Coturnix japonica: one gene and its partners. The protein of the gene in region 3 purifies or fractionates together with the protein of the main gene of each other region. This does not show direct contact. Links are inferred from orthologs where the notes say so. Each region holds a gene or a part of one and is shown on either strand. Other genes may lie near its edges.

The links.
Region 1: the proteins of PRKAA1 (region 3) and PARS2 purify together in Homo sapiens (affinity purification with mass spectrometry; 3 studies listed by BioGRID and IntAct, with this or other methods). This does not show direct contact. The link is inferred for Coturnix japonica from reciprocal best matches to the Homo sapiens genes PRKAA1 and PARS2.
Region 2: the proteins of PRKAA1 (region 3) and USP10 purify together in Homo sapiens (affinity purification with western blotting; 3 studies listed by BioGRID). This does not show direct contact. The link is inferred for Coturnix japonica from reciprocal best matches to the Homo sapiens genes PRKAA1 and USP10.
Region 4: the proteins of PRKAA1 (region 3) and PRKAG2 purify together in Homo sapiens (affinity purification with mass spectrometry; 8 studies listed by BioGRID and IntAct, counting the BioPlex papers as one, with this or other methods). This does not show direct contact. The link is inferred for Coturnix japonica from reciprocal best matches to the Homo sapiens genes PRKAA1 and PRKAG2.

What each region holds. Positions count from the first base shown.
Region 1 is NC_029523.1:22,554,018-22,562,266, forward strand, and holds PARS2 (probable proline--tRNA ligase, mitochondrial), read right to left. Parts: upstream 4,824-8,249; 5' UTR 4,719-4,823; coding exon of another isoform or gene 4,614-4,718; 5' UTR 4,366-4,613; coding exon of another isoform or gene 4,354-4,365; 5' UTR 2,919-4,353; exon of another isoform or gene 2,905-2,918; intron 2,712-2,904; 5' UTR 2,707-2,711; coding exon 1,303-2,706; 3' UTR 1,301-1,302; downstream 1-1,300. Other genes in the region: TTC4 (tetratricopeptide repeat protein 4), read right to left, coding at 1-59, 136-348, 732-849, 916-990; LEXM (lymphocyte expansion molecule), read left to right, coding at 4,354-4,365, 4,614-4,718, 4,824-4,940, 5,043-5,180, 5,275-5,412, 5,670-5,837, 5,978-6,106, 6,512-6,642 and 1 more. UniProt on the Homo sapiens protein: Mitochondrial aminoacyl-tRNA synthetase that catalyzes the specific attachment of the proline amino acid (aa) to the homologous transfer RNA (tRNA), further participating in protein synthesis.
Region 2 is NC_029526.1:14,995,312-15,002,816, reverse strand, and holds the end of USP10 (ubiquitin carboxyl-terminal hydrolase 10), read right to left. Parts: intron 6,325-7,505; coding exon 6,159-6,324; intron 3,387-6,158; coding exon 3,242-3,386; intron 2,603-3,241; coding exon 2,537-2,602; intron 1,450-2,536; coding exon 1,262-1,449; 3' UTR 990-1,261; downstream 1-989. UniProt on the Homo sapiens protein: Hydrolase that can remove conjugated ubiquitin from target proteins such as p53/TP53, RPS2/us5, RPS3/us3, RPS10/eS10, BECN1, SNX3 and CFTR.
Region 3 is NC_029547.1:11,811,087-11,819,078, reverse strand, and holds the start of PRKAA1 (5'-AMP-activated protein kinase catalytic subunit alpha-1), read left to right. Parts: upstream 1-2,693; 5' UTR 2,694-2,872; coding exon 2,873-3,002; intron 3,003-7,216; coding exon 7,217-7,358; intron 7,359-7,992. UniProt on the Homo sapiens protein: Catalytic subunit of AMP-activated protein kinase (AMPK), an energy sensor protein kinase that plays a key role in regulating cellular energy metabolism.
Region 4 is NC_029517.1:5,604,006-5,611,510, forward strand, and holds the end of PRKAG2 (5'-AMP-activated protein kinase subunit gamma-2), read right to left. Parts: intron 7,361-7,505; coding exon 7,306-7,360; intron 6,836-7,305; coding exon 6,709-6,835; intron 6,066-6,708; coding exon 5,900-6,065; intron 5,577-5,899; coding exon 5,539-5,576; intron 4,873-5,538; coding exon 4,726-4,872; intron 3,311-4,725; coding exon 3,217-3,310; intron 2,374-3,216; coding exon 2,342-2,373; 3' UTR 1,604-2,341; downstream 1-1,603. UniProt on the Homo sapiens protein: AMP/ATP-binding subunit of AMP-activated protein kinase (AMPK), an energy sensor protein kinase that plays a key role in regulating cellular energy metabolism.

The DNA of each region.
Region 1 (8,249 bases), on a different chromosome or scaffold from region 3:
GTGGTCGGGCTTCAGCTTTCTCGCTTGGGTTGCATCATTGAGCGCAGAGCGGTAGTTACCTGCAGGCCAAGGAGAGCAGATCAGCACGGGAACCGTATCTCCTGCCTGCCCTGCAAAGGGGGGTACAGGGCTCACCCAGTCGGCAGTTGGCGGCTGCCCTGTTGGACAGCAGCACGGCTCGGAGCTCCACGTCCTCGAAGCTCTGCCGCAGCCCCTCGCTGTAGGCCAGCACTGCTCGGCCGTAGTCCTTCTCCTCGAAGTACGCGTTGCCCTCGTTCTTGTACATGGTGGCCAGCTCTGCGGGGCGGGCACGAGCGGAGCTGGGACCAGCCCTAGGGATGGAACAGGCTGCCCAGGGAGGTTGTGGATGCCCCGTCCTTGGAGGTGTTCAAGACCAGGTTGGACGGGGCCATGGGCAACCTGATCTATGGGGTCTCTATGGGGCATCTATGGGGCAGCTATGGGGCAGCTATGGGGTATCTATGGGGCAGCTATGGGGTCTCTATGGGGCAGCTATGGGGTCTCTATGGGGTATCTATGGGGCAGCTATGGGGTATCTATGGGGTATCTATGGGGTCTCTATGGGGATCTATGGGGTCTTCTGGGCAACCTGATGTAGTAAAGGTGTATGTTTGGTGGCCCTGCCAGGCAGGGGGGTTGGAACTACATGATCCTTGAGGTCCCTTCTAACTCGGGTCATTCTGTGATTCTGGGGCCCCTCTGCCGCCCACCTGCGGGCTCCTTGTCCTGGTCGAACAGCATGGACTGCAGGCAGGCCAGCTCGGGATGCCGCTCCGCGTCGATCTCGTCGGGGCAGCGCCTCATGAACATGGGGATGGCCTCCATCTCCTGCGGGCACACCGTGTCAGCTCCCTCCACCAGCCCCATTAACGCCGTCCCGCCCCGCGGCCTCACCTGCTCCCAGGTATCGGGACGGAAGCCATTCAGGTACCGCGGCACCTCAGCATCGCTCTCCTCGCCGTCCGCCATCTTGGTACCGGTCGCTCCGTCCCTCCCCTTCCGGCCCCGTTCATGTCCACGCCCCGCGCCGCCATTTTGCCCGCTGTGGGGTGCGGGCCGGCATCGCGCTGTGTGAGGGGATGGGGATAGGACTGCAAATGGCTGCAAGTGGCCGTAAATGGCTGTAAACGGCTGTAAATGGCTGCCCTCCTCATGGAGGTGTTCACAACCGTAGGGGTGCTGAACCACACATCCCCACCCCACAGCACAGCTGTTAAGCAGCTCCTATAGAAAGAACCGGGCCGTTCAGGCGCACAGATGATAAACTTGGAGACGGGGATCTCAATGGAGTTGCACTTTACTCAGTAACTCAATGACACCTTCCTTAGTGAGGTACAGAACCGTACCAGAGCTCTGATCCCAAACCTCAAACACCGCGGGGTCCTCGCAGACCCTCCTCCCCGCTACGACCACGTAGGGGTAGCCCAGTTTGTTGGCATCCTTCAGCCTCTTGCCAATCGTCAGCTGTGTCCTGTCATCCAGCACCATGTCTCCCTCCATGTGAGGCAGGACTTCAGCCACATCATCATAGAGACGCTCCAGCAGCGCGGCTCCCTGCTCCTCCTTGCTGCCTTTCTTAGGGGGGATGAAGCACACCTGGTAAGGTGCAATGAGGCTCGGCCAGCGGATGCTGTCCTCCGTAGACAGCACCTCAATGGATGCTGCCAGGATGCGAGTGACGCCCAGACCGTAGCAGCCCATTTCTGCTGGCTGGAGCTTGTTCTCTGGGGTGTAAAAGACAGCATTGTGCACAGAGGAATACTTGGTGCCCAGATAAAACGTGTGCCCCACTTCGATCCCTCTGCTCTGAGTGAGTTTTTCCCCGCAGGTGGGACACGCCGTTTGCCCTTCATCCAACATCTCCACGTTAGCTGCAAAGTGCCCAGCAGGGCACAGCACCAACCTGTCCTCACCGATATCAGCCGGCAGCTGGAACTCATGGGACGCAGTGCCGCCAATGGTGCCGGTGGCTGCCCGCACTTGGACACAGCGTAGACCCAGGCGCTTAAAGAGGCCATTATAGGCTGCACACACCAGCTCATAGGTGTGACGTGCTGCCTCCTCTGAGCTGTCAAAGGTGTACATGTCCTTCATGTAGAACTCCCTGCTGCGCAACAAGCCGAAGCGAGGCTTGGGCTCATCCCGGAACTTTCTGGTCACCTGGTAGAGGCGCAGCGGGAGCTGCCTGTAGGACAGGTTGCTGTGTGCAGCCACCAGTTCGGTGACGGCCTCCTCATGTGTAGGACCCAGGCAATACTCCTTGCCGTGCCGGTCTGCCAAGCGGAACAGCTCGGTCCCCATCTGCTCCCAGCGCCCGCTGGTCCTCCACAGCTCCGCAGAGCTCAGGCTGGGCATGTTCACCTTCTGCCCCCCTATGTTTCTCATGGCTCCATCCATCAGGCGGATCAGCTTCTCCATGGCTCGCAGGGCGGGCGGCAGGAGGTGGAAGCAGCCGGGGCTGGCGGGGTGGATGAGGCCGCCCTGCAGCATCAGCCGGTGGCTGCGGCAGCCCGGCTCTGTTGTCTGCCCCTCGCACCCTGCAGCAACACCCACCTGCAGGTTCAGAGGCTGGAAGAGCTGTGAGAGCAGCAGCCGGCCGTGACATGAGGCTTCGTGCTGGGAGCTGCGGGCCGGCAGCTGCGGGGCTGCTGCTGCTCTGAGCACGGGGAGCCCGGTCCGCAGCATCACACCTACAGGGAGCGAGCAGCAAAGCGAGGCGTTACGTGCTGCTTCGTGCTGGGCAGCCCTGCAGCCTCAACACCCGCAGCCCCAGCACTGAGTCCCCCCAGGTCCCAGCTGGGCAGTGCCTGCATGTACCGCCCCGCTCCGCACACATATACACGCGGACCCCAAACCCAAGCTGCTCGCACCGCCCCAAGTCACGTTACACACCGCACCTCCTTCCTGATCCTGGAAGTAGAAAGTGCTGCTGCTCTATGGCTGCTCAGCAGCTCCCACTGCTGTGCGGAGGTCCCCCCGCTGTCCGTACAGCTCCGCAGCTCTGCAGCTCTGAGCCTGCGGGTTTCCAGCTCCAGGATGGTGCTTTCCTATCAGAGCAGCTGCACTGTTGTCCCGGTGATGGTTTCCCTTGTTTTATTCCCTGCTGCAGTCAGTTGAGCTGCAGGTCATACAGGACGCCCCATACCATGCAGGTCCATCTGCAGGGCAGGACAGTGGTCCTTCACTGTTTCCATCTCCTGCTGGAGCTGCTGAAGCAAAGTGTGTTTCTGTCAATGACTTACTGCCTGCCGAGCAGATCAAAGAGACTAAACATCTTGGATTGATTTGCAGGGCAGTGTTTTAAGCGGGAGGGTTTGAGGCTGTACAACAGACAAGGTCTGCTGGGAAAGCTGATATCTCTCATTAAACCAGCAGACAGTGCTGGATGAGGAGCTAAGCTTGGAGGCTGGGAGCCTGTCTGCACTCTTTATCTTTTCCAGCTGTGCCCAGAGGGATCAAACTGAGGTTTCAGCCCTGGCCCAGTCACGCTGGCTACATCCTGGCTGACCCTGGCCATGATCTTACATAGCTGGGAGGGTCCATCAGCCCATAGTACTGCCTTGTGCATCCGTCTGGCTGAGCTTCCTGAGTGCTTCCATTCCTTCCTGGGATGCTTCTGTAATTTACAACTCCAGGGTGATGTTTTTATGTCCAATAAAATGGTAATTGCGGGGCTTGTCACAGAACCTCCTGTGCTTCTTGGGATTGCTCCTCCAGTTGGAAGAGGTGGCACAGGCTGCCACCATCGCAGGGCAGCTGGGAAACAGCCTCCAGCTCAGTGTGTCTGCAGCTCTGAATGTGTGTCAGACAGCAGAACAGCCCCGAGGTGAAGCTTTAAAAACTGCTGCTTCTTTTAAGCTGCTCCAACTGCTTTCTGGGTCACAGCTCGTGATGCTGGGGCTGGTCATGCACTGATTTTGGCCATGTCCCTGGCTGGAGAGATAAATTTAATGTCTAACAAATCTCAGTGTATACAGTATAACCCTTCAGAGGTGCCATGTGGGGACACCATCCCTTGCACTCTTGCAATGCTGGGGCAGAACCGGGTCATACCTCACATGGGAATGTGGGTGCCAGGAGGGGGACACTGCATCCCTGGTGGGAGCCAAGCACTTGCTTGGCTTTGCCGGTACACATGGCCCAGAGAGCTTGAGGGATCCTGCAGTGGGGACTGTGGGGCTCGGGGCAGCCAGGCTGGAGCCCCCAGTATAGCTACAGCTACAGCAGCTCAGAATGAGTGGTAGGTGACAATGGTGAGGGCTGCCATGGTGAAGGCTGCCATGGTGAAGTCTGTCACAGCAGCCCTGGTGAGCAGAGCCAGCAGCGAGGGACATGGGCAGCCGGGTGAGGCCACCAAATGGGCACACAGTGGGGAGAGCAGGGATTCCTGGTTTAGCTCCTGAATTATCATGACTTCTTGGCACAGCAGTCAGAGGCATCCAGCGGGGAGCACTCTGTCTATGTGGGATGTGGGCTCATGCTCCCCACCCAACAGCAAAACCATTTATTAGTGCCTTAATTTGGGATGGATAACAAAGCCAGCATGTGAGGCAGTGGTGTATGTACAGTTGTGCTCTGGATCTGCCTTGCAGGGGGCAGCACCAGCCTCTGGCTGGGCCATAGCAGGGGCATGCTCCCGGGCAATTCAGCTGCCCCATTTCCAGTTCAAGGTGATGCTGAAGAAGCGCAAACAACAGGTAAGAGCCGGATTTGATCCACTCTCCTTGTCCGGGTGGCCAGGAAGCACTGGCAGTGTTGCCTTTGATACCCAGCCTATCCTTACCATCTTTTTCCTTCTGCAGCAAGAGAGGCTGGGCCCGGGAACGTACAACATCAGGGATTTCCTGCAGGAGACACAGCCCTCGAGCCTGAGGGGCATCTGCGACACAAGGGAGCAGAGGTTCAGAGAAAGACAGCGGGTATTTTGCAGCCTGACTTGGGAGCTGCTGGCATCCCTGTGAGCGTTTCCCATCACTAGAGCTGACTGGGGGCTGCCCACAACCATCCCATCTCTCCTGCAGGATTTCTTCCCTGGGCCTGGCACCTACGGCCCCCAGGGGAACCCCTACACTCCCCTGGATGAGAGGGACAGGCGCTCCGCCAGCACACGAGCGCTGATGGACAGCAGGACAGAGAAGTGTGTCTTCCTGACAGCCACGGCACGTCCTGCTCTTTGCCCTGGGATCGTGTTTGTTGGGGTGGCTGTGTTTCTCTGCTTGAAATCTCCCTGCCATCTTCCCTCTGTGCCTGCAGGGCAGTGGTTTGGCACCCGGCACCTACTCCCCATGGAGCAGCACCAAGGAGCAGCTGCAACCGGCGGGCAGACGCAGGACCCGCCAGGTCCCAGTGGAAAGGCGGAAGCCTGCAGTCATCTTGTGGCCCGATGAGGAGGTGTGTAACCTGGACGGGAGGTCCCAGTAAGTGTCACTGCCACCACAAATGTGTAAGATGGAAGCTGCTTTATGCTGCACTTCATCTTGAGTTTTGCTTTTTGGCTTTCTTGGATCTGAGCAGCATGGTGAGATAAATCCTCACAGCAGGAGAGAGTGTCTGTGAGCAGTGAAAGGCTCAGCTCTCACAGCGAGGGGTCTTTGGGGTGTCTGGAGTGACCTCCAGCAGCTGAGCCTCATGCAGCTCCTGTGGCCCAGCAGGAGGAAGACACCAAGAAGCACATTGTCACTGTCAAGGGGTTCCCGGATGAGCTGATGTCAAGGGAAAACAAGAAGAAAGGCTGCTTCAGCACAATGCCACGGAACCCGGGCTGCCCCACAGAGAGGATCTTCTGGGCCACGCTCAGCCAGTGCCCGAGGGACGCGGTCAGTGGCAGTGGGGTGTTGTTCCATTTCCACCCTCCCCAAGCTGCTGGTTTCACCTGGTGGTGTTGGGTACCAGGCAGTGCTGTGGGGCTGCTATTCCTGAGAGCAGATGGAAGGGTAAGAAGTTTCCTTCTGCACAGTTTGAGGTGGGACCAGGCTCATACGATCCAAAGCCTGCTGAGAGATCAGCAAACTTCAACCAGCCCCCGTTCTGGTCGTCTGCAAAGAGGTTTGACAAAAAGGCCGAACGCCTCTTCATGGGGAATGAGGTGAGTGAGCGCAGGGCAGCCTGAGAGGGGCACAGGAGCCATCAGGCTTTAAGCTTGTCTCTGTCACTGTCTCTATCTATTGCTGGCACCCAGTGAGATTACAAACCTCATCCTGCAGCTGTGGGCACCCAGTGCAGAGCAGGCGCTGAGATGGGCAGCGTGAGCTGGGCTGATGCTGAGCAGAGGGACAGGAGCTCAGCAGCAGCCACATCACCTCTGCCCTTCCCAATGCATGCTCAGATAACATAGCATGTCTCCTCCTCCTTCCCCTGCAATGCAGACCTCCTTTGGTTAAGATATTCCACACATTGTTGTTTTCTGCAACATAAAGCTGCTACCCAATGTTGCTCCACTGTATCAGCCTCTGCAGCGACAGGGAAACAACATGTGACCTTCCCTTTCCAGAATCGTGTGGGTGTGGGCCGCTATAATCTCAGCAGATATGACAAATACCCTCGGAAGATCAGATACCAGTCCCTGTACAAGAGTGAAACACAGCGGTACCTGAGCAACTTGAAGCAGGATGCCTACATGCTGTAAGTGGCATATAACAGGGGCTGGAAGCACTTTCACATCAGCTTGCAGGAAAACTTGCTTTGTCTTGATCAACTCTGGTGAGGCTGAGTGAAGATACTAGTAGTTTACAACTGACTTGAGAGGCTGAATAGCAGAAGGGATGGTTGTGGGGTTGGAAGTGCTGGAATGGGACTTGGTGGCCCCAGAACAGGGTCCTTCTATGAATGGTAAGTTAATATGTCTGTGAAGAAGCGAGCAGCCCTTAGTGCTTCCCTCTGTGTAAGGGCAGTGGGAGGGTTAAAATGCTGCTGGCTGCCCAGGCACTTTAAAGGTATGGAGGTGGTTGTTCTACCTTGTGGAATGCAGTCTGTATGAAGAAGAGGTACAGACAAATGGTGTCTGAGTTAGAGGAGGCAGCCTGGGGGAGAACCCAACAGTGGATGAGGCTCTCTCAGCTCATTCCCTGTGCTGGCACTGATTTGATCAATGGCCTCAAACACAAACCGCGTTCTCAGACCGCGCCTTGGTTTACCCATTTGGAGAAAGAAGATAACAAGGCTCAGTTCCATTGCAAAGGGCTTTGAAATCACTAGGGGGAAAACCTTGTGAAGTAGTTGGGAACTGTACTAATGAGAGACCTCAGGGCAGTCCTTTGCTTTCACCTTTGCTCATGGCCAAGATTAGCAAACTGCTGTGGTGGTACTATGGGCTGACAGCTCTGCAAAAGCAGTCTTGATCTCCAGAGAGTTGTTAGAAATCCATTTCAGTTCAATACAACATGGCAGCCTTCAGCTGGGGCAGCTCCGAGTTAGCTATCCCATGATGAAGGAGAAGGCATAATGAAATCTAGCTTTCAATATTGCTGGCTTTGTTAATTTTGTAGCTCCAGTAGGAATAGAAAAAAAAAGCCTGAACAGAGAGCAGGATGTTCAAATGCACCGAGTTGCTCTATGATCAAATAGCACCAGCTCCAAAATCACTTTTCAAGCTACAGCTTTACTTTCAAGGGAATAGCCAGGCTTTTAAGAGCTCTGTTCACCTCCGTGCTCGTTAAGATTAATGAGATTAATCCAGCCAATAATTAGAGCTCACTGAATCACATCCTCTTTTCACAGCGAGCGGCTAAAGCCTGCTGCGAAAAACAAATGGAGTCATTTGATTTCTGCTCCACGTTGTCCAGATACCTGTGAAGAAAGCACTGCTGTTTTCCAAATGTAAGATGGTGCTGGAGAGCCTGAATTGGCAAATAAACCATGGACATGCCAGTGGATGAGATGGTGTAATGCGAATACTCGCAGTGTGCTGGCATGCAAGAGATAGGAAACAAGTCTTGCTCTGTGGTAATAAAACACCCTTCAGACATTCGTCAGTCTAACCTGTCTGTTGACTAATTCATTGTTTTCACCTTTATGAAAATGACACAGTGGAGAAGAGGATGTCCGACACCATACACTGACCACAGGAAGGTTTGTGGCATGCAGCACTCATTCAGCATTAAGCATTTCCTTCCCCGTCAGCTTGCACTACTTAAGGGCCGTGCAGCTCTCTGTGTGTTCTGTGCATGGTGGCAGTTATCATGGCAAGCAGTGAGTGCACCAAGGTCCACCACAGCAACTTGAAAGGAGAG
Region 2 (7,505 bases), on a different chromosome or scaffold from region 3:
GCTGGCATCCCTGCATCCCTGCCAGCCTTTCACGTAGGACACAGGGAGGATTCACTCCCCGTGGGCTGCAGCCTCTCCTTTGGGGTTGGTTACATCTCAGTGCCAAATAGGAACACTTCTGAAGTTCCAATGAGCTGTTAAAGACAAAAAGCATCTGCACTTCATTTGAGCACCACCACCTGCACCCTGTCAAAAGAGCAACAAGGCAATGTTTAGGAGTTTTCAAGGCTAGAAGTTACTCTGGAAGAAAAACAAAACCCACACAAACACACACCACCTTAAACCAACTTTGTGACTTTTATTGATGGGCGACAACTTTATACTTCTAGATATCACTAAACTGTGTACAATTAGGAACTCAACATTATAGGAGAGCAGACAGCAAAATTAAACAAAGCAGACTTAAAGAAATATCAACCTTAATTATTTTGCCCATTTTTTTTTTCTTAAATTTCATGTACACAGAAGCATAAATGCAGTTTGAAATTTCATAATAGCAATAAAGTTACGATCACCCATCTATATAGACTAACATCTTAACTCCAAATAGTTGATCTGCAATGTGTACTTAAGCAGTTTCTCATCACACAATTATTAAAACGTGTCTTCCTATTAGGAACCAGCAACTCTGCATTTGGTACGTCTGTCCGTTTTCGAAGCACGCAGGACCACCTCCATCTCATACACATTGGCTCATATTTTACTCACTTATCAAAAACTATTGGGGGGGGAGAGCAGAGAGCGCTTTTCGTTTTTTTTTTTTCTTATTTTTTTTTCTTATTTTTTTATTTTAATTAAGTAAAGATAAAACATTTTCACAGAAATCTACAAGTTCTGTTGCTGGTGCAGGGTTTTTTTTCTACTACGCAATTAGAAAGTGGGAATCAAATGCAAATCCCTTGTTTATTATCTTAGGATTCAGCATTAATTCAGTATCTTTTTTTTTTTTAAACTATTCTTTTTAATTTTTTTCTTTTTTTTTGTAATTTTTGTGATTCACGAGACTCGAGTCTTTCAACCCAGCGACTCCATTCTGCTAAGTCAACGTCAACGCAAACTACGTTGTGCACAAACCCAGGGTAGTTTCCTTTCTCACTCTATCCCATAGTTGCAAGGGAAAAAGAAAGATAAGAAAAGAAAAAAAAAAAAAAAAGAGATTCACTCAGAAGAGCATTTACAGGAGAAGGAAAAAAAAAGTTAAGTGATAGTTGGCGTTCTACAAAGCAGGTATCTTGCACACACAGCGTAAGAAGGAGAAGTTTCACAGCAGGTCAACTCGGCGGTAGTACAGGAGGTAGGCTGTGCGTTCTGCAGACGGCTTCACCACCTGGTACTGGTTGATCACCTTCACTGCCTGGTCATCGATGCGTAACCAGCCGTTGAGCCCGATTTGGAAGACGTCCGTAGTGTAATGGCCACCAGTTGCGCTGTTGCCATGATGATAAACAACTGTGAAAAGAGAAATTTGTGATGCGTGTGTACGCTACACATTAAATGGTTTTAAACTGAGATGGGAGTTTCAGGTTGGATATTTGGAGGAATTTTTTCACCCACAGGGTGGTGATACATTGGAACAGGTTGCCCAAGGAGGCTGTGGATGCCCCATCCCTGCAGGCATTCAAGGCCAGGCTGGATGTGGCTCTGGGCAGCCTGGTCTAGTGGCTGGTGACCCTGCACACAGCAGGGGGTTAGAACAGGATGGTCACTGTGGTCCTTTTCAACCCAGGCCATTCTGTGATTCTATGAATACCCACTGCCACATAAAAGCACAGAATAAAAGTCACATTCTGCTTTCTTCATAACATACCCATGATTCAACCAGGCAGTACTACGTAATGTCTCTCCGACATACCAAATCTAATGATTCTGAAGGACACTGAAGTAAATTAACAATGAAAAGTGCCATAAAGCATTAAGCAATTCACTGAAAAAAGAATAAATCTGAACAATCTACACAACAGTCTATTAAAGAAAACTATAAAGTCTCTTCTCACTGGTGGCAGGACAAGGAGAAATGGCCTCAAGTTGCACCAGGGTAAGTTTAGGTAGGATATCAGGGAAAACCTCTTTAGAGAAAGGGTTGTTAAGCACTGGAATGGGCTCCCCAGGGAGGTGGTTGAGTCACCATTACTGGACGTGTTTAAAAACTGTTTGGATTTGGTGCTCAGGGACACAACCTAGTAGAGGGTTGTCAGTTAGGGCAGGATGGTTGGGCTGTGGTTGGACTCAATCTACCTATCTATCAATTTCCCATCTATTTGCTTTTTTAATGTGGATCTACTGAAGAACTTTTTGTGTGAGTTTCAAGCTGGAAGAGTCAGCATATAAATACAGATGCAGCATTACAGGGGTATATGAGCATGAAAAAAAAAATAAAATATATCACTAAATAAGAGAATCTGACACCCATAAACTATTTTAACTTTAAAATAATTTTGTAATAAATAAGAAAATATTATGCAATCCAGGTTTCTAGAACTCTACGTGTAGAATTGGTATTTGCACTACAGGGACATGAGGAATATAGATAAAGTACCTGCAAAGAGCCGGTAGGTTCTTTGGCCTTTAAAAATCTTACTTTTCACACCAGGAGACAGTAGCTCTGGAGAAGGAAAAAGAGTCATGAAGGCAACAGTCAGTAAATTCAGAAATTCAGTTTTAACAGAGATTTCTAACAGAAATCAACGTTAGTATAAACAGAGAAATCTCATCTAAAATGTATACAACTATCAATTTTAGGTTGAAATTGACACAAAAACACACAGCACTGTTTGGCAACAGCCCTAAGTATGGACACGTCCTTCATTCAGGGGTCATTCCTAGTATTTGTCCTCATCAGCCTACCACATTACTCCATACGTCTGCAGGAAGCTCTCACGTGGCCAACTCAATGTCTAGGATGTGACAAAGGTTATAAGATCATTCACCATAAAGTTCTTTGCCTGATATAAGAAATACACAATATTCTTATTTCAAGCTGATATACAGGCAATGTCAGATTTGTCAAGGCTCAATCTCCAGATTCCTAAACATACTCTTTTTGTGCTTTTTTTCCCTTCAGAAAAGATATTCAGCAAAACTACTACATTTCTAGGTGGCAATACCCTCCATGGAGAAGAAATCTTGTGCACAAAGCTGGAAGCAAAGAAGAGAACTGAAACACACAGGTACAACAAGCTAAGGAGTTAACATTACCCCTTCCCAAAACCGGGGAAACTTCTGTTAAAGAAGACATCTTTACCTTTACTAATTTCCAGATCAACAGGATACTCAATATTCTTGATAAGCTTCTGACATCCGCCCGTCTTCTCATAAACAAACCTCTTGAGGTGTAAAACAAGGACAGGGGGGAGTTCTTCTAGTGTCACTCTTCGACTGATCTCCACCTAAAAATACAGAAAAAGACGAATTAAAAATGATTTCTGTTGACTGCTCAGAATTGCTACTTAAAAAGAAGAAGTATTTGATTTTAGAGACACTCGCACAAAGAAAAAAGTCTGCACAGCGTAAGGCAGTTTATAACACAGCTTATGATATCTGACAGTAAGATACTAGTAATGTAACAGTTTAAAAACAATTTAAAATCAACGAGGTACTTGATGTTCAAGAATTCCCTTGAAAAACAAAGTGAGCTGTTAAATAAGCTATCTAAAAACGAGTGTCACGATGGTCAGGAGTTATGGAGGGTTTCGGTAATGAATGATGTTTCTTTTGTTAAAAGGTATACCAGGTTCTGTAAAGATCCTGAAGGAAATACAGAGAAAAAACTATGAGTTAAAGCCACATTTATTTACTAAATACTGACTTCTATATAGTTACATCCAAGTAGCCCAAAAAGTTACTGTCTGGAAATGTAAAACTGGGCTCCAAACTGCAGAACAAAAATGCTTCCTCTTCCTAGAAATTCTGAACTAAAACCAAAAATTCTCCAAGTAACTGATTTAGGCTTCTCTAAGTTTCCAGATTAGGAAAAAAAAAAAAATCACCTGTATCCTCTTTATGGTAAATCATCAGCATACTGTATTCCAACAGAGGATCTGCTTCTGCTACTGAGCATGGAATAGAAAATCCTGAGGAAAAACTCTTCTAAGCTTGAATACTAAAATTTATTGCTCTCATGATACTGAAGCAAGCAGGTTTTGTAGGGTACACGATTTCCTCAAGGATTTGAGCTGATACTTTTTACAAGAAATAATTTAACATGTGAAACAGAAATAGTCTCTACTAACTGTAAAACTTCACCTACATCTTAAGGGTTCAAAATATGCCTTTCTGCATCCAAAAACCATCTAACCACTGGGCAACAGTGGCAGCTTCTCTGAGCCTCAAGAGAGGGGTTTTGTGTGCTTTTTGTTGTTTTTTTAAACCTGCAGGCCAAACAGGGCCCTGTTCTTTTCCACTCAATAAGTGCCTGCTGGCACCCACCCATCCATCTTCCAGGAATAACACGCAGAAAAAAGAAGCTCTAAGGCAGACTCTGAAAGAGAAGATGCGACAAGAGGTGCACACAATTCTCCTATGAACATAGGAGAGTTTGCATACTGCATGTGTTCTAGCATGGAACAGCGGCTGTTTTCATGGAGCAAATCTGGAAAGGCTTTATATAAATGAAACTACTCTTGATTCAGACAATTATCACTATTTGAATATTTTCCTGGAATTGAGTCTTCTCAATCTAAAATCTGAATTCAATTTTGTGAGGAACCAACAAACCAACCCCAAATGCTTCACAGGTCCAAGCCCAGACCAAGATAGGAAGACACAGAAGAATACCAATGCAGTGGTTCAAGCAGCTGCTGTTCTCCTCTCTCAATCATTGAGCTAGTGTTTGGGAACATGCATCTGCAACTCAGCTGTGCCTCACCAAGAATCTCAGCTTAGATCGCAGATCACAGCAGCGCTGTGCTCTGGTGCCAGGCTGTGGACCCAGCACACAACCTGCTACCCTGACCACCAGGGGACCTGGTTTCTGGTAGCAACATCACCAGCAAGAAGTGCTCCAAACATTTGCTTAGCGAACACTGAGCAGAGTCCCAAGAAAATATTTGTGTAAGCCTCAAGAAGCAGTCTGAGAACTACAGAGAATGTGAAGACTCCTAAGGAGTTTGTGGAAGGTAAGCAGGAAAAGTAAATGAGGAAAGGCTAGCTTCTTACTCAAGTCTTCACTACTGCTACAAAATGCGAACAGGTCTGCAAATAAGAAAAAGGCCACTTCTAGTTAAAAATTAAGCTTTTATATGTATTTGGTGTTGAAACATTCAAGACTTAAACAGATCTGCAAGACCAAAAAAGAATGAGAATGGCCTACAGAATGTCATTCCTCTTCAAACACCTGCATAAAACACCTATTTATTTTCAAACACTGCATGAGAGTCTGATTATTTCCTACTTACATTAACACAAAAATCTTATGATTAGAAAAATAAACTAAGAAATCGTTCATGCATTTGGAAGATTATTGTTGTAACTACGGCTTATGCCCACAACTTGATAATAATACAATTCAGATCTAAAAAAGTCAGAATAAAAACAAGAGTAATTAAATAAGACTTTTTTTTTTTTTTTTTAGCTTCAACAGTTTCTGAGTTCCCCATAAAGAAAATGAAGATGAAATGCTTCTTCACAACAGATTTTGGCTTTCAGGATGTTGTACATAGTAATTTTCATTGTGTTCAGTGTTTTCACTATAATTTGTAACATAAGAACAGCTCTTTTGACAACTTCTTAAGAAAAGAAAGACCTAATGCTTGCATTTCTATGCAGCCTCTAAAACATAAACCAGATTTTATGTTTAAGAGTCCTGGCAATCCTCAGGAATGAGTATGTTAAGACAAGCTAAAGCCATTTTACTTATAATAGTACATATTATTATCACAGTTTACCCTGTTAATTTAATATGTTCAAGTAAAATCTTCAGAAAACATTCTAATTTACAAGCACAGTTTTGTTTAAGAGCTGGTTCTCTTCCTTGAATGCCTTTCACTGTATGTATTCAAATGTATTATGTTCTACTGCTGCAACACACCAAGAAGGTTAGCACCTTTTTTATTAACACCAGGAGTACGAGTTCAAGAAACTATTTGTAAAACAAGAGCTGAGTAAAAACCCTTGAAAGAACTTCTAATATTTGACTGTAAAAACAAGTCAACAGAACACACCTCTTGCTTGGTTTTTGTGGTATAACCCTGGACAGACTCTCTTGCCACCAAACTTTCCAATGCATCCTGGACGGTGCGTATCTTGTCAGACTGGATATCCAGCTGCAGGGTGAAGAAAGGTTGCAGCGTAGCAGATTCTTTAGAACTCTGTTGGTAAACAACAGATCTACGGAAAGAGCAAAAATTGAATGTAAAAAAGGAAAGTAATTTTCAACAATACAAAAATCTTCAATTAAGAAGAAATCAGCGTCCACCTTGCAGATAGTTAAACCTGAACAAAACATACAAATACTAGCTTCAATAGCAAGTATCCACTTTAATGCAAGTAAAATCAGTTTCATAACTCCTCAGAGCACACCGAACGGAATTATATTTCAATTATTTTGTTTATGCAAGTATTTAAACAATTCTGGATAAGCATCAGTCACTTAAAGAACCTGAAGCAAAGAAGTGCTTGGCCATGCCTTTAAAGGTCTGCAACTTGGGACACATTAAAACATATTGCGATCAACTAAACTTCTATTCTGAAATGAAAAAAAACACAAAACACTTCTGTGTTTCATGGCAAAGCGCAGCCAAAGTTGATTTATGAAGCTTTACCTAACTGCGTTCCTACCCTGGCTTCTATCTTTTGTTAATATACTGCTAACCACAAAAATACCTCTGCTCTAGGAAACATACATATGTCTGGAAAGTATGTTAGGAAGCCAGCTCTTTTTGCAGGGAGACTTTAAAATCATCTCTGTTCACATCAGATTCCTGAAATTATGCTTCAATAAACAAGTGATCAGAAACTCAAAGTACTGATCCATCTCCAATTTATGTTTTGCTGTAAAAAATAACAACCAAGTCCAGATTATGAAATTAAACACGTGACTATTTCAGTCACTTCACCATGTCCAGTCTCATGGTCACTTTAAATTGTTTGGTTAGAACTGGCCATAGGAAATCCAAACTATCCTCCGTTGAGGATCAGCGTTTCCTTTTCCTTCCAACATTTCCCATATCCAGACTATGTCCATGCACTCCTCTGTAGAGAAATATGGGAGACTTTAGGAAGAACTGAAGTGGTAAAACATGGGGCATGAGGTATTTTTTGTAGGGCGTTCAGCTGCAGCCTTTCAGTAATGTGGCTTCAACTTCAGCTGCATCACTGCACTAAGTGTACTCTTCCTGTTTTCCCTGAAAACTATCAAACATGGCTCAAGAATTTACTTTCTTTTGAAAGCAGTACTTGCATTAAAAAGTCCCAGCTGTTAAAAAAAAAGTGATTTTATGCAGCTGAAGAAATAAATTGCTTATTATATTCTTAAGCTCATTACAGTGTCCCACAAAGCTTGAAAGCGA
Region 3 (7,992 bases):
CACTCCGCCCACGTCTCTGGGGGACGCCGAGCTGCGTCCCATCGTCCATATCAGCCCCCTTGCCTTGTGAGGTAGTAAAGGAGCAAAGGGAGTCAGTCAGAGATTATGGAATTCTGTATGCCTTTACATAAATCTTTTGGTTGCAATTGGTGACAGTTATGTTTTGATGACTGGAAGATTTTGATACAGATGATCCTCTCTCCTGTGCAGTTCACTGTGTTTATGACTGAGTACCAAGAGCAGGCTGCCATCTGGGCTATGAATAATTTGAATAACTGAAATCATATTGGCATAGAGGAAATCGTGGGGGAGGGGGTCTGGGTAACACCTCAGGCCCAGGCACAGACATATAGACAATGTCTTGAGCAAGTTAAGACTGTGGTGTTGTGTGCTGTCTGTTGGACACCTGATACTAATTTGTCTAATGCCTCATTTACATCAGTTAAGCAGGAGGCAGCTGAGCCCTACATTATATTTCTTGACTGTCTACAAAATATGCTACTGAGATGAGTAGAAAATCAAGCTACCTGGGATGCTTTGCTTAAATAATTAGCAGTAGAAAGCGCATATATGGACTGTCAAAAGGTTTTACAATCCTTAAAGAATGCAGATCCATCCATTACTTATGTGATTAAAGCCTGTCAAGATGCAGGCACAGAAAGCCATAAAATGGCCTTGCTGGCAGAAATGCTGGCAGCCCAGCTCAATGCAGGGACAGATCAAAGAATGAAATAATACAATTGTGGGGACCCAGTTATGTACAGAGGGACCATAAAGTACCTAAGCAAGCAAATAAAAATGCTCATGCTGTTCCAACTCGACTTTGTCCCCAGTGCAGGAGGGGGCTCCTCTGGGCAAGAGAATGCTCATCCAAACTCCCTGTTGCTGCACAGCCCTGTGATCTGCTGGGAAACAGGAAGAAACGTGCAAGACCGCATGCTGTGACAACAAATACAGTCCTGAATCAGCAAGCCACTGCCGGGCCAGCTCACTCAGACCAGCCACTGCTGGCAGTGCAGGAGTGGATTTGGCCACTGCCCAGTCAGTGCCGCTGATGGACAGCACCATGACTCTCATTGCAGCAGGTTTAGAAGTGATGAGAGAACTTGTAATAAACACTTTGGATCATTCACATCTGAGTCCATGCATCAGACACTGCATTAGTGGGCTCCACTTATATTTTGTTGTTTGTTTTGAGCTGTTGTTTGTAATAACATAGGAGAAAGAGAAGAGTGCAGCCTTCTTAATATTGCTAGGAACTAAGGCCTATAATGCTCTAAATTTTCTTGAGAATTTGACATGTAATCCATTCTGTCAACAACTAAGGAACAGTTTGGGAAATTATTTTTAGCAATTTTGTCAAATATCTCCATTCTTACCATACACTTCTCTCATGTCCAGGAAATACTGGTAGACTATTTCAGGTTTTTTGCTCCAGTATTTGCAGCTGTCACCTGTTTCACGTGCAAGTGAGCAGCATTAAATTCTTGCAGCCAAACATTTGCATTTCTTCAGCTTTTATCAACTAGTCGTGATTCTCTCATGGTTTCTTCCTTGGGTGTTTCTCAGATGAGAGTCTACCTTCTGTGAGAGTGTTTTCAAAATACAATGTCTACCCCTCGTGCTTACTCTTCTGCTGTTGGAGATGGGATAAAATGTCATACCGTAAAAAGTTTATATAAACATCAAATACCTTGTAGTGTCAGTACTTTGAAAGCTGAGGCTTCACTGGATTACAAAAAAAAGTACATTAGCACCATGCTTGTACTTGCTAATAGCTCTGAACTTCTGCTTTTCCTTAAGGATAGGGGATGCCATTTACAATTATGCAGAACAGAAGGAAATCACATGGGTACAGATGGGAACAAAGCCTGATGCTTGTTCTTTTCCTCCCCCAATGCAATGTGTGCCTGAGGATTTGTTAGGAGCTGATGGGCCCTGCTGCAGAAGACAGGAGGTTCTGCTGCAGAGCTCAAAACTAGAAAAAGAGCAACAACCAATTTTCTTCACTTTCTATTCTTCTTTTCCAGTTACAAGGACAAAACAAACAAACAAACAAAAAGACCATAACAATGTAATTGAAGCACTGAACATGAGCTGTAATAAAAAGTAGAATTTCTGTCTTTAGACAGTATCCAAAGGGAGTTTAGATAACATCCCCGAGTTCAGAAGTTGGCACCTTTACACATTAACAGGGGATTACTGAGGACTACTAATACCTTTTTGTCCTGCATCGTATAACATCTTTTATATGTTTGCGCATGTTAAAGAGTTTACATGTCATGTAGTGCTGGCTGAAAGAATCTCATTTTCTCAAACACGATCCTCATGAAAATGCTTGAAATTCAAATTCTAAATTACTCAAAAATCATTAGTTTTATTTTCCTTGCTTTGACTGTTTTACCATGTAAAATGTTACTTGAATGATACACAAATTTTAGCAGGGTGCATATTAAAGTAGTACCTACGATTTTACTGGCCTATGTTTTGCCATTGGCTGAACAAATGACACCCTCACCATCTTTGCATCCCTCCTGTGGACCACGGTGTGGACCAAGCAATTGACACTCTTCTAATTCCATCTGTTTATTTGAAGGCAGGATTGGAAAGCAACTTGAAAATAATATTTGCAGGCAAGAACAGCTGTTGGTCTGCAGTATGTAGGAAGCGGATCCAGGCAGGGCAGCAAGCAGGTGAAAGAAGAGGACATCTCCCACAGCACTCAACCCGGAAGGATTATCTCGCACCGCCGGAGCCCGAGTAGCAGAAATGGTTGGCGGGGGCGGAAAGCGGCAATAGAGGAATAGTGTCTGAGTTCCGGGGGCCGGCTGCGTGCCGGAGCTCCTCCTCGCCGGAGGCCCCGTCCAACACCATGCGCAGACTCGGCTCTTGGCTCAAGATGGCGGCGGCAGATAAACAGAAGCACGAGCACGGTCGAGTGAAGATTGGGCACTACATCCTGGGTGACACGTTGGGAGTCGGCACTTTCGGCAAAGTCAAGGGTGAGCTGTTGCGCCGTCTATTCCATTTGGGTCGGGGCTGGGGCAGGTTTCCCGCTGGGACCCTCGCTGGGGTCGTACGGGGGCTGCTGGGGCCCCGGCCGGAGGCTGGGCACTGTCAGGCGGAGAGCCGGGCGCTGTGTCGCGGGGTGCCACAGGGCTGAGGGCTGGGCTCCGGGTCCCGGCTCGTATGGCCGCGTTTGGTAGCTCTGGCTGTGAGGGGCGGCCTGGCCATGGAGGCGGCAGCGGGCATGGCTGGGGCGGGGCGGGGCGGCTCTCCGGACGGGGGATTTCTCTTCCGCGTTGGCAGACATCGTTCCTGGAGAATTCCTGCGTGCGAGTGTGATCGCATCTGTAACGGAGGTGGCCGACGTTCAGGCACACCTGCCCGCGGGATTGCGTTTTGTCCCTCAAATATTTGCCGCCCTTAAAAGGTCAGCGAGCTTTCTTGCTTCGCAAAGGGCAGAGCATTAAACCAAAAAAAAATCCTGAAATTATTTGACTAACGAGCTCAGCTGCTGACACAGCTGTGTGGGAATTCTTAGTGCTGAGGCTGGTGGTAACTGAAGTTTCTCTACAGCTCTCAGCTCAGTTGGTGGTGAGAGATTATGGTATAAGAAAAAGCTTGTCCCGTTTTTATTCAGCTAGGATTTTCCTGGAGTTTGTGTGATGTGGGTGGCTTTGCCATGACTTCAGCTGATGCGGAGCTCATTTCCTTCATAGTATCTGCTATGATGCCATGTTAAATCAGGTTAAACCATGACAGTCTTCTTGGAAGAGGGTGTTTAATGGCAGTGACAACCCCAGAAATCAAGTGGAAAAGCAGATTTGTGAGTAACTATCAAAGGTTTCCCGCTGTTCAGCAAGCTGTCAAATTAATTCACCTTTTCACTTGGTGTTTTAATATCACAGATTGTTGTTGCTGATCTGATGTTTTGCCCATGTAACTCTTAATTTGGCTCTATAATCCTGACTTAATTACTGACTTAGTTCATCTGTCTATCTCTCAGATAGGCATTCATAGAGAAGACAACTGGTTCTAGCATTCTTTTTTGCCTTTCATGTCCAGGCATAGCAAAAGTATCACTGACATGAAAGGTGAAAAAGACTGCTGGAAGTAAATGAGTTTTGTGAAGTACATTCTCACTTCAATTGTACAAGCATTTGGCATATAACACTTATTCTGACCTCAATGACTTTGGATGTTGGGCAAAGCTCTTTACAGAGGGAGTGCTGAGAACAGGCTGCTCAGGTTGGTGGTGGGTGCTCCATTCTTGAAGGTGAACATCTTCAGACCCAGGTTGGGTGGAGCATCTAGTTCCAGACCTGGAGGAGGTTGGTGGCCCTGCCTGTGGAAGAGAGGTTGGAACTTGATCCTTAGGGTCCCTTTTGACCCAATCCATTCCATGATTACTATTATAGTGTTGCCTTTTGAAAAAAAATGGTCATACCTTCTGCTGAATCCAAAAGCAGAATTTTATTTCCAAGTGTTTCAGATGGTTAGATTTCATGAAAAGAGGAGTAGTCAGACGTCTGGTAATTTTTAGTGAAACTGAGTATACTGTTTGTGATTGTAGATACAAAATGTTTGTCCAAGCCTTGAAAACAAGGCTAAGAACTGTGATCTGCAAAAATGATTTAAACAGGCCTTGATGAAATGTGGAGGGGAATAGTGAATGTAAGTTTGCTCTCTGTTGTCTATGCACAGCATTAGCTGCTGTTTTTGCTGTTTTAATTAATTAATTAATTTATTTTTCCCAAGTTAGTAACGATATTATCTTAATTTTAAAGAGTGCTGCTCTCTACTGAGCCTTGGCTTGGATTGTTTGTTTCTGTCAGTGTATTTGTTTACACGTAGTCATAGAATCATTAAAGTTGGAAAAGACCACTAAAATAATCTAGTCCAGCCATCAAATGGGGCAACATAAGAGTCTGCTCCTGCCACTAAATTTCACCTTCTGTGGTCTCCTGCGTCAAAGATCTTGTAAGTCTAATGCTTGTGGTATGGCCAAGTGAGGGCCACCCTGCAAGTGCCAGGTCTGCTAGACTGAGGCTGTATAACTTCATGTGATTTAATAAAGCCCAGGGTTTAGTGAGAGCCCCCTCTGCACTGCACAGCTGTGTATTTCTGTTGCTTGTACCTCCAACTGCCTTCCCATTGCAGAGGGCATCCAAAGAGATGCCTCCTCAGTGTGCCCATAACTGGTACCTACATCTCATAAGGACGTCATATTTCCTGTGGTTTGGGGTTGTTTTTGCCAGTATAAGGCTTGAATTTAGACAAATGTTTCTGCACTTAAGCAATTGAAATTGTTGCTGAGGTTGTTGCAACTGTGTCTTTGAAAACTTGTTGCTGTGCCTTCAAGTTTCAATATGACTATGCAATTTGTATTAGTGATAGAACATGAGGAAATGGTATCAGGTTGCACTGAAGAGGTTTGTATAGGATATCACGAAGAATTCCTTCCTTGAGAGAGTGGGCAAGCATCAGAAAGGGTTGCTCCGGTGGAGATCCCATCCTTGCAGGTATTTAAGTGGATGTGCCACTAAGGGACATAGTTTAGTGATGGACTTGATAGGTCAGGTTGATAGTTGGATCTGGTGATCTTGAAGTTTTTTTTTTTTTTCTAGACTAAATGATTATCAACCTAGAGTATTATCAAAGAATAAAGAGGGGTATATTAGCTGTACAAAGGGAACTTTCTATGCAGTGCTTTTACTTTCTAAGACTGGTAGAGTACTAAAATGATTAACTTGATTAATTTAAATATATTTCTGGATTGTAAGCCATCCCTTTTGTAGATAAAACTTATGCTAAGAGGTAATACAGAGTAGCTTACAGAAAGATAACACTGGCTTCTTGGTTTTCTATGGGCTGTACATGATGTTATCATCTGAGGTCTTGCTTTCAGCTCCATTCTTGTGTTGAAGAATAGTCAGCAGTCGCAATATACTTCAAACTGCTCCATCTTAAGGTTAGTTTGTTCTTAAGGCATGCAGATATCTGACTGCTTCTTTGTGGAATTATGGATCAATTCTCATGTGAGGCACATGCAGAATAATGTTGCAAAGGTACTTTACTGTTGTGAAATACAACAACAGATCTTTTAAAATTCACATCTTTTAAGGGATGTAGAAACACTTGCATTTGCTGTTACATAAGACAACAAAGTGAATATTACTTTTGTCTGGGAAAAATGATTTTTTCTGAGAAGAGTGCTGTTTAGTATTTAAAGCACAAGATCTGTTGTGGTTGTCTGGTGCTGTGTATACTCCATGGATTTGCAAGTCAGTCTTACTTCATGAAGGGGATTATTGGAAACTCCAGTCTTAAAGCTAGATTTCATATAACCTTAAACTTGAGGGGGTGGGGGGGGGAAGTGCAGAGGGGCAGAAACTACTGAAGAAATATGTAGTATATCTGTGATCTGTTATGGCATTTTGCTGGGAACTTTGTTGTGGTCTTTTCCAAAAGCACCTGCAAACTTAAGGAATTTAAGAGATGTAACAGTCTAGAGGACATTTTACGCTACGAACTTCCTCTACAACAAAAATTCTTCTAGAAGTGGGAAGAAACTTAGAAATGTAAGAGATTGCTTGCTGTAGTTAACACTGGATTCTATTTTGTGCATTTTTTCTATGTTTTGCCATTTATACAATGAAGCTCTGGTGTGATACACCTCCTTACTATGTGAAGGTGAAACTACTATAACTGCAATTTCAAGATTGGATACTCTTAGCAATAATTCCAATTGCTGAAACACGCTTCTTGAGGGAAAGGAAGCTGTCATGTTATACTAAGAGCAATGTTTGCTGACTGAGTAGAAAAGCTGCAGGGAGAGCATGCCTGAGAGGATTATCAAGTGAGCTCAGATTGACTCATACAGAGAAATGAAATTGTCTTCTTCCTTAACAGTAATGCAGTGTTTTGGGATACAAAAATGTTTTCTTTGAAAAAGTGTATTCATGCTGCAGTAGTTCCAAGTGTGAGACCTAAGGTTTTAATTCATCTTCTCTCAGTAGAACTGAGAGATTTATTTGGGGTACAGAAGAAATCATGTACTGTGGGGTCTTCAACCTCCCTGAAGATAATGGGAATTTGCGGAACATTTAGTATTTTAATTGTAGTATTTCTTGGCTATATTTGAAGTGACCTATTGAATGTTCTTTATGGAGCAATTGAAAAATCTGACTAAATTCTTTTTTGTTTCTTGTAGTTGGCAAACATGAGTTAACTGGACATAAAGTTGCAGTGAAGATCCTGAATCGACAGAAGATTCGCAGCCTTGACGTTGTAGGAAAAATTCGAAGGGAGATTCAGAACCTCAAACTCTTCAGACATCCTCATATAATTAAGCTGTAAGTTCTATTTGCTATGATCAGATCTATTCAAGCAATAATCTCTTGCTTTCACTGCAATGTGTCCAAAAGGCAGTAGTATTGGCAGGAGCTTCTTAGGAATCTAACCAGCTTTGAAGAAGCAGTATTCCGTTTTCAGTGTCCTCTGTAATGCATTTTCATAAAACTGATCTGCGCTGGGGGACAGAGAGGTGTGCTTTAATGTTCTTTTTCTTTTTTTCTTTTTCTTTTTTTTTTTTGGGGGGGGGGGGGGGGGGGGGGGAAGCTGGGCAGGGGGCTTCTAACAAATTAAGAAGGTTGTAAAATGTATTTCTATCGAAAATTACTGCATTTTTTCCCCCTCAGTATTACTTAACAGCATGCTGATCATTTAACTGTGATTTCTCTATTGTAGATGGCTCTGAAAAAATTTTCTGAATTAAGGATGTACAGTCTGTTAAGTGTAATCTGATATTTCAGAATTCTTTATGTAGCTGTTACTACTTGTCTAGTATGCTAAAAAGTTGTTGCCTGCCTGTCCCTGTCTGTTAGGCAATGAATAGCTCATGAATAGAGTTCAGAGTGCAACTAAATATGTCCTAGACTAGACACTTTGTAATTTATTTTCTAAGACCAGATTTAAGTGCCATTGATT
Region 4 (7,505 bases), on a different chromosome or scaffold from region 3:
CAAACATTAAATGTGGGAGGTGTGAAGGTTCTGAAGCAAACTGGCTGCTCCTGAGAGCTGGGCACGGACAGCCCCTGTTGTTCAGCAGGATTAAGCACGCATGGTTTCACCTCTGCTTGGACCGAAACCGAATGACTCCAGCTTACCCTGAACTGAGATGAAAGATGGCAAAGCGTGTTCTCTAAGCAGTTTTGGAACTGCTTCAGTCAAAGTCTTCGCCTGCTGGGAGGACAAGAACTCGAGCCTTGGAAAGCAACGTTGGTTCTTTCTGCATTACCCAAACATTCCCAGCGGAGCATTACTCCGTAGGACTGGCGATGAATAGAGACTCAGACTCAACAGTTGCAATTCAGTTGCTAGTAAACAGCAAATACCGTCTGCAAGGCTTACAGACCTCAGATCTTTGAACTGAAAGGAATCCAGAAGTAAAACGACATGAAAGTGTTTTTATCAGCCAAACAATCTGTGTCAGCAAAGGACGATTTGCCAAAGTAATGAGCTCACGGCATCACCAGATAGTGCATAATACCGAGGGGCTGAGCTTCATTAAAAGAATAATGGCAAGCATAGTTCTATGAAGGCTTTTCCTTGTACTTAAACACATCCACAGCAGCAGGTCAATAGCAAACATCGTCACACCTGTGTTAAGAAAGGGAATTTGGGGCAACACTGCTGAGCTCTCAGTTCTATAGATACCATAGATACCACTACATATAGATGTAGTCTGTTCTTCCCTAGCGAGCTACATGAAAGGGAAGCGTCCTAGATGAAAGCTTGAGGTGCTGAGGAAACAGCTGTCCATGGTTCTTCTAGCTCTGTGTCCATAACACACACAGGGCACTTGTAATAATGTTAAAACAAGGGACTCTTTGCACGCTTGTTTGAAAACTGCAAATTCATTCTGGCTTCCTGCATGCTAATTTATGCAGACAGGCACAACGCTGTCTGGATGGAATAGGGCCAAAAGACTTTGCGCTAAATATAATGTGAGGGGAAAAAAAGCATCTATCAGTGGCTCAAACCTAACGTAGGTCTGAAAAATGCTGTTCCTGCGGAGTGAGATGGAGGGCTGCATTTAGGCAATTCCATCCCATACCTTCTAAGGAAGGCTGTAAATCTGGTGCTGGAAGAGCAAGCGGGCTTACAAGAAGTCACACCTGTGCAGCTTGGATGGCGTTTACAGGTAGTGCTGACCATGTGAAATTCCAACCTACCACCAATAATCCCTTTCCACACAGCTCACGGAGCACAATCTCTTGCAGGAAGCGAGATCTGAAGAAAGGGCTTCCACAAACACCAAACGGAAGTTGGAGGGTTTAATTTCTTCCATCTACCATTATAAAAGTCTCATCGTCAAACGTTACAGTACATTTACAGCAGCAAAACCCCAACGGCCTCCCTCACATCCAATACAGAGTTGCATTTGAGTCGTACAGACATCAGTTGACACATCAACACAGTGGGAAGCCTGGTTCTCTGGCACGTCCTTTCCCACACGGTGCCTGCATAGCACAGTACAGAGCAATGCTGGAATCCCCAGTTCACATGGTCTGACCGACAGCCCTATAGCTCCAATGTTGTAAATAAGGAGGAAATCTGCCACTGGTTTGTATAACAATCAACAGTTTATTAATGGATATGGTGAAATTGTAGCTATCCACCAAAGATGTGTAAAAAATTGTCATGAAAGTAAAAATAAATAAAGCTGTTTTTAAAATCAGTCTCGTTTTACATCTCGGTTCAGAATGCGACATTTAACACAAAACTGTCATTAAAGTTTTAAAGAAGTCTACTGATATTCGAATTACAGCTTTTATGACGAGTCTAATGAGAACTGAAACTGATTTGGTTTAGGTTTAAAGACTTTCACATTCAAATACAGTGTCTCATTTAACACAATACTTCCTTTGACAGTGATGGGCAACAGTGATGACATATTGCTGTATTTTGACATAAGGCACTATGATATGAATATGCCATACACTTGCCTTATGTCACATATATCCATTGCTGACCAGTGACTTCTGTCAAATACAGAAATGAAAAAGGTTTCAGGATACAGTGCATTTTAATGAAGGACATCGTGTGAAGTCTTCCAGCAAAATGTTCTGAAGACGTTTTGAAACACAAGCCTACATTGTAACATAAGCTTTTTGTCATGCTGCTTTGTTTTATTTTTTGCGACATCACTGGGGGGGAATAGACTCATCATCCATCACTAAGTCCCAAAACACATCCTCACCCATCCTGCTCTGTTCTATTGCAGTCACTGTTCTCCAGACAAACTTGACCCAGAAACTTTGTTCAAGTTCTCCTACAAACGTTTATACATTCACAGCAGTCATTCACTTTCATTCTCCTTTTGTTTGGCACCTGTTAACAGAAGAGGAGAGCATGTGTGATTTCCTTATGCATACAGCACTTGCCTCATGGAACGGCAATTCTCATTCTGAATGCTGCAACTGTTGTCTGCCCACATTACCCGAACCTTAGGACTGGACAGGATCCATAAAGAGCACACTTCAGTACAGCTGAATGCTCACAGGCTGAGGGAGCCTGGAGGCCGTTACTGCCTCTCATTTCATTGGCAGGGTAATTCTCCAAGTCACTCTGCTGGGAAGTTACTCAAACTGCCTTTCTTTGAAGTACCTCTCCCCCAATACACCACGCTGAAAGCCTGTCCTTCTAGCTCCGGAAGCCAAGTTTAATCATCATAGTGCTCTTAAAAAGCAAAGTTTCCCATTAGATCAATGGGATAAAGCAGCTCATAGAAGGATCCCGTGAGAGGGAGCGCTGCCACATGCTAAACACCAGAAGCACATGACCCAGAGTGCAGGAGTGGGAACTCCCCTTGTAACTCCCCTGAATGTTCAGCTCTGTCTCCTTAACCTGGTACTTTGAAGGCAAAACTGTGATCTTAAGACATTTCCTGTCTTAATCACAAAGCCAGAGGACTGACCCGACCAAGTTTAGTGATAGGTCAGAGACTTCTACTGGAATAATTCACTCTGGGGTGATGTCTGACACAGCAAATAGTAACAAAAGACTGACAGTTAAGCACTTTGTTGGCTTTTACCTGCAGAGAAGTGAAACACTTATTTGGAGAGTATAATCAAACTATCATAAATTTAAGGTCAGCAGTGTATTATTGTTATCATACCCGCTAAGACCAGCAAGCTGTAAGCACTACTGAATGACTTATGGCAACATCCATACCTGCTGGTGTGAGTACCAAAGCCTGTAGAATGTCAGAAAGGGAGATGATACCCACAATGCTATCTGCTTCATTCACTACCACCAAACGATGAACCTGTGAGGAGGGAAAAACAGTTTTGAGAGAGTGGAATAAGAGCTAAAGGCACACGGAGGTCTGATGGCAATAAAATCATATTTGAAATGGCAGACAAGCCAAGATCTATGTCTTAAAAGCCTTGCAGAATGGGAGAGTGCCCCTCAGCACTGCAACCCAGCTCAAGCTGGGAGCTGTGCAACCAAAGGGCTGTAGCTGAGCCAACTCAAAGAGGTCATCCTTGGATGGATGCCTAACGAAAGTTGAGAGCTCGGTACTGATTTACTTCTTACCTAAATGAATTTGGACTTCAAGTCTAACTAATCAAACGTAACTGTGAAGGAAGTGAAAAAAACCTTCTCATCCTTTCACAGAAGCGACAGCAAGAAAAGCTGCAGTGTCTCGACTTAATACAGATGGGAATTTATTGCGGAGGTCAACCGCTTCACTGCCGGTCAGATAAAGCAAAAAAGAGGATCTCGAATGTTATTGGCAGAGTCACACTCAGCTGACACTGTGAGGAAACAAAAAGAGTGGGACAGTGGGAGAATATGCTTTGCATTTTCTTTCTGACAGGGCTATGTGTGTATGCACACACTCTTCCTTCTCACAGTGTAATGAATTCAAGGATAATGGACAATGTAGTTGTTTCACATCCAGTGAGATCAAGCATTTGTCTGGCAGCTAAAAATAGCACCAATTACTGCCTCCCCTGTGGCTCTGACTGACTCATTTTTGCATAGCCTTACTATGTTTAGACTGAGCCAAAGGGTAGGAGTTGTTCTGAAAACCCAAACGCCTAAAGCTTCTGAAGATATTAATAAGATCGGCCACGTTTGGAATCTGTGCATCAGCAGTGCTGAAATCTCTGAGTTTCAGGAAGAAGCTCGAGCTGATGCAGGAAGCTGCACGTCAGAATCACCCCATGGAAGTTCTGAGGGGGTTTTTCACAACATGGGAATTCTACTCATAGTAACCACATGTACAGTTATGGCCCCAAGGGTGAAAAAAAAACAGTGTAAAATTGAAGTCATTCACATCCATGTGCAAGAAGGTCCCAGTACAAAAATCATAGGATAAACCACAGAAAAAGAACAGGGAAAAAAAAGCATCGAGTCATTGACAAGTGATAGAACTAGAGGGAATGGATTTAAGCTGCGCCAGGGGAGATTCAGGCTGGACATTGGGAAGTATTGCTTCTCGGAAAAGGTAATCAGGCATTGGGATGCACTGCCCAGGGAGGTGGTGGAGTCACCGACCATGGGAGTGTTCAAGAAACGTTTGGATGTTGTGTTGAGGAATATGGTTTAGCTGGGAAGTATCGGGAATGGTTGGACTAGATGATCTTCTAGGTCTTTTCCAACCTTGATAATTCTGTGATTGACAGGACAATTACAATTTACAGGGAAGGGAAATAAAAAAGGGGGCAAACTCACCTCAGCCTTCACTATCCTATCAACAATGGTCTCCAGTGTTTCCAGCATACTACACTTTACAACACCTTCAAAATACTGAGAGCGGTGCTGTAGGGCCTGTGTCACCGTGATATCTAGGTTATTATAGGTTTTTTCAGCAGCAAGGTTCTGAAAAACAAGGCACACAGCTCACTACTTAAAGTACCCAACAAAGCAAATAGTTTGGCATCAAGTAGACACACATTTCAGACGTAAACCAAGTCTGTTCCAAGTCGCATATTAAACAAAGCAGATGCTCTTCAGTTGTAGTTTTTGGGAGCAGTCAAGCATGCAACTGCATTAGACACCATACTAAAGACTGGATTCATTGATAATAATGTTTTGTAATTATACATCAAGCCATGAAAGTCTTCCTACTTCATTCTCTAGTATTTGGCTTGATGTCACCCATCCTGCTTCTGCCACAAGGAAAAAGGGAAGATGATGTTCTATAGATTTCAGGAAATACAGAATATACTCGAAGAATAAACCATTTGTGTTGTTTTTCAAAGGCCAGGTGAGGACATTGACTGCTCTGAACACCACCCATTGAGTAGATCCTGCTATAGAGATTCAAGCAGAAAACAAAGGGTAGGTGTCTTCAACCTTTCCTATCTGCAGGCTCGAACTCCCTCTCCTGGTCTGTGCTGGAACTACCACTCAATGTACATTTTTACATCTGTTTTATTAAGTACAATCCAAATAACAAAATCAGCCCGTTAGCAAATTAATTTCTAATTGCTCACTACATTAAAAAAAAAAAACCACTTAATAGAATTTAAAAGGTGTACTTACTATTACATCAAATTTGGAATAAATATCTACAACTTTTCCTAGAAAGAAAAATAGGTATTAATAAATCGCTTCCAATAGAAAGTTAGTTTTCTTGTGCCCTGTTTTCATGTGTTATAATGACACAGAGAGAGGCTAAGAAGGAAAGCAGGAAAACAAACCAAACCAAAACCCACCACCCATGATGAATCCTTCCAGGTCCATCAGCATATATCTTACATAATCATTCTATATCTACATATATACATAGATTATACATACACACATACAATATTATACATACTATATATAAACACATAAAATAAATCCAGGCTTCAACAGCATTTATCTTACCACACTTGTGCACAGCAGAATCAACACACACCTGACTCATCCACAACAGGTAACGCTGATATCCTCCTCTCTACAAATATATTCAAGGCTTTAATGATAGGAGTGTCTGGATGTATGAAGGCAATGTTGTGGTAGGTTCCTATTCCAAGTTCATCCAGATTCTTCTTCATAAAGGCAGGCTTTGGCATCTCTGACATCTAGGAAAGGCAGATGGATATGTTTACACAACGCAGTTTCCTGCATGATACACTACTGTTACCAGGTTTTTTATATGTAATCAGGAAATAAATATCCATCCATCCATCTAGAGACCCCAAACAGTAGTTACAGATCATTACAATAATCTATTATTAGATTTACATAAAGCCAAAACACGCCTAGATCCAGAAACATTAATGCTGTTCCAACAAGTTTTAAGTTACGACTCCACATCTTGGCTATTTTGCTTGTCAGTTTATTTCTGTAGTGACCCATCACTAAAATCTTTCGATCCTAAGCTATGGCATTCCCAGTTAATCTGAAAAAAGAAGGCATCAAAGATGTGGGGTGCTGCATGCTCATTTTGACATCCCTCTGCTTTGCTTGGCCTCCTGTCCACTCCTGTGACCAACACACAGCACAGCAAGTTGAGTTAAGCTTGGTTCTAGGAGATGAGTCATTATTCTGCTTCTGTAATCAAACAAGCTCCCGAAGCTGAGATCATCCAGAATATGACACCAAAATACTCAAAAAGCCCTGACGTATCCCTGGTGTTTTTGTTTGGAGAGGTCTACCTGGGTTCGGGGTGGGCAGAAGACAAAAAAAAAACAGTTAAAGCAAAGCAGAACTTCAAGTACTTACAAAAAGCTGGAGGAACTTGAGGATTCTTTTATGGGTAAGTATATAAAGTGCATTTCCACTGACGGGATCTATAACTGGCAATCTGTGGATTTTGTTTTTGATCAATGAATATACAGCATCAAAAAGGCTGAGGAGAAAAGCATTTGTTTTTAATGAATGGTAGCCAGGGAAGAATAACATCAAGTACAGGTTTACAAACCCATAGCAAGGATGCAGTTAATAGCATCACCTTTAAATGTTACACAAGTTAAAGCATTTCAAATGATCTTTTCTACATGCATGAACTGATTGTTCTTATAGGGTATTCCATGCAAGTAGTTCCATTCAGACACATTCCTTATGACTAAACTGAACAACCTGTTCATGTCTTCACAGTGGCGATTCTACTGAGGATATTACGTGCAATTAGTTTGAGATAATCACTACAGTTCCCTCCCCAGCTTACTTTAAATGGCATAAGTCTATTCCAGAGACTAAAAGCAAGAACCAGAAGTTCATTTACAATAGAAGCTGTTTGTACAAGAGAAGACTTAAAATTCAGTGTTGAAATGGAGTTAGTTTCTTTCAAGTTAAACAGAATGAAAAGGAAAATCCTACCTTGCATCTGGGGAGATGTTCACTAAAGGTTTAAACGTCTCTTGTAAATAAAGTTCTGTGCATAGAAAAACAAACTATTACCATTTTCTATGGGAAAGCATCAGCAGTTTTGTAAAAGCACTTCATGAATTTCTCAGCACAAAATTAAATGAACAGGGAAGACAATCATACATAACAACTTCAGATAATCTACCACTAAT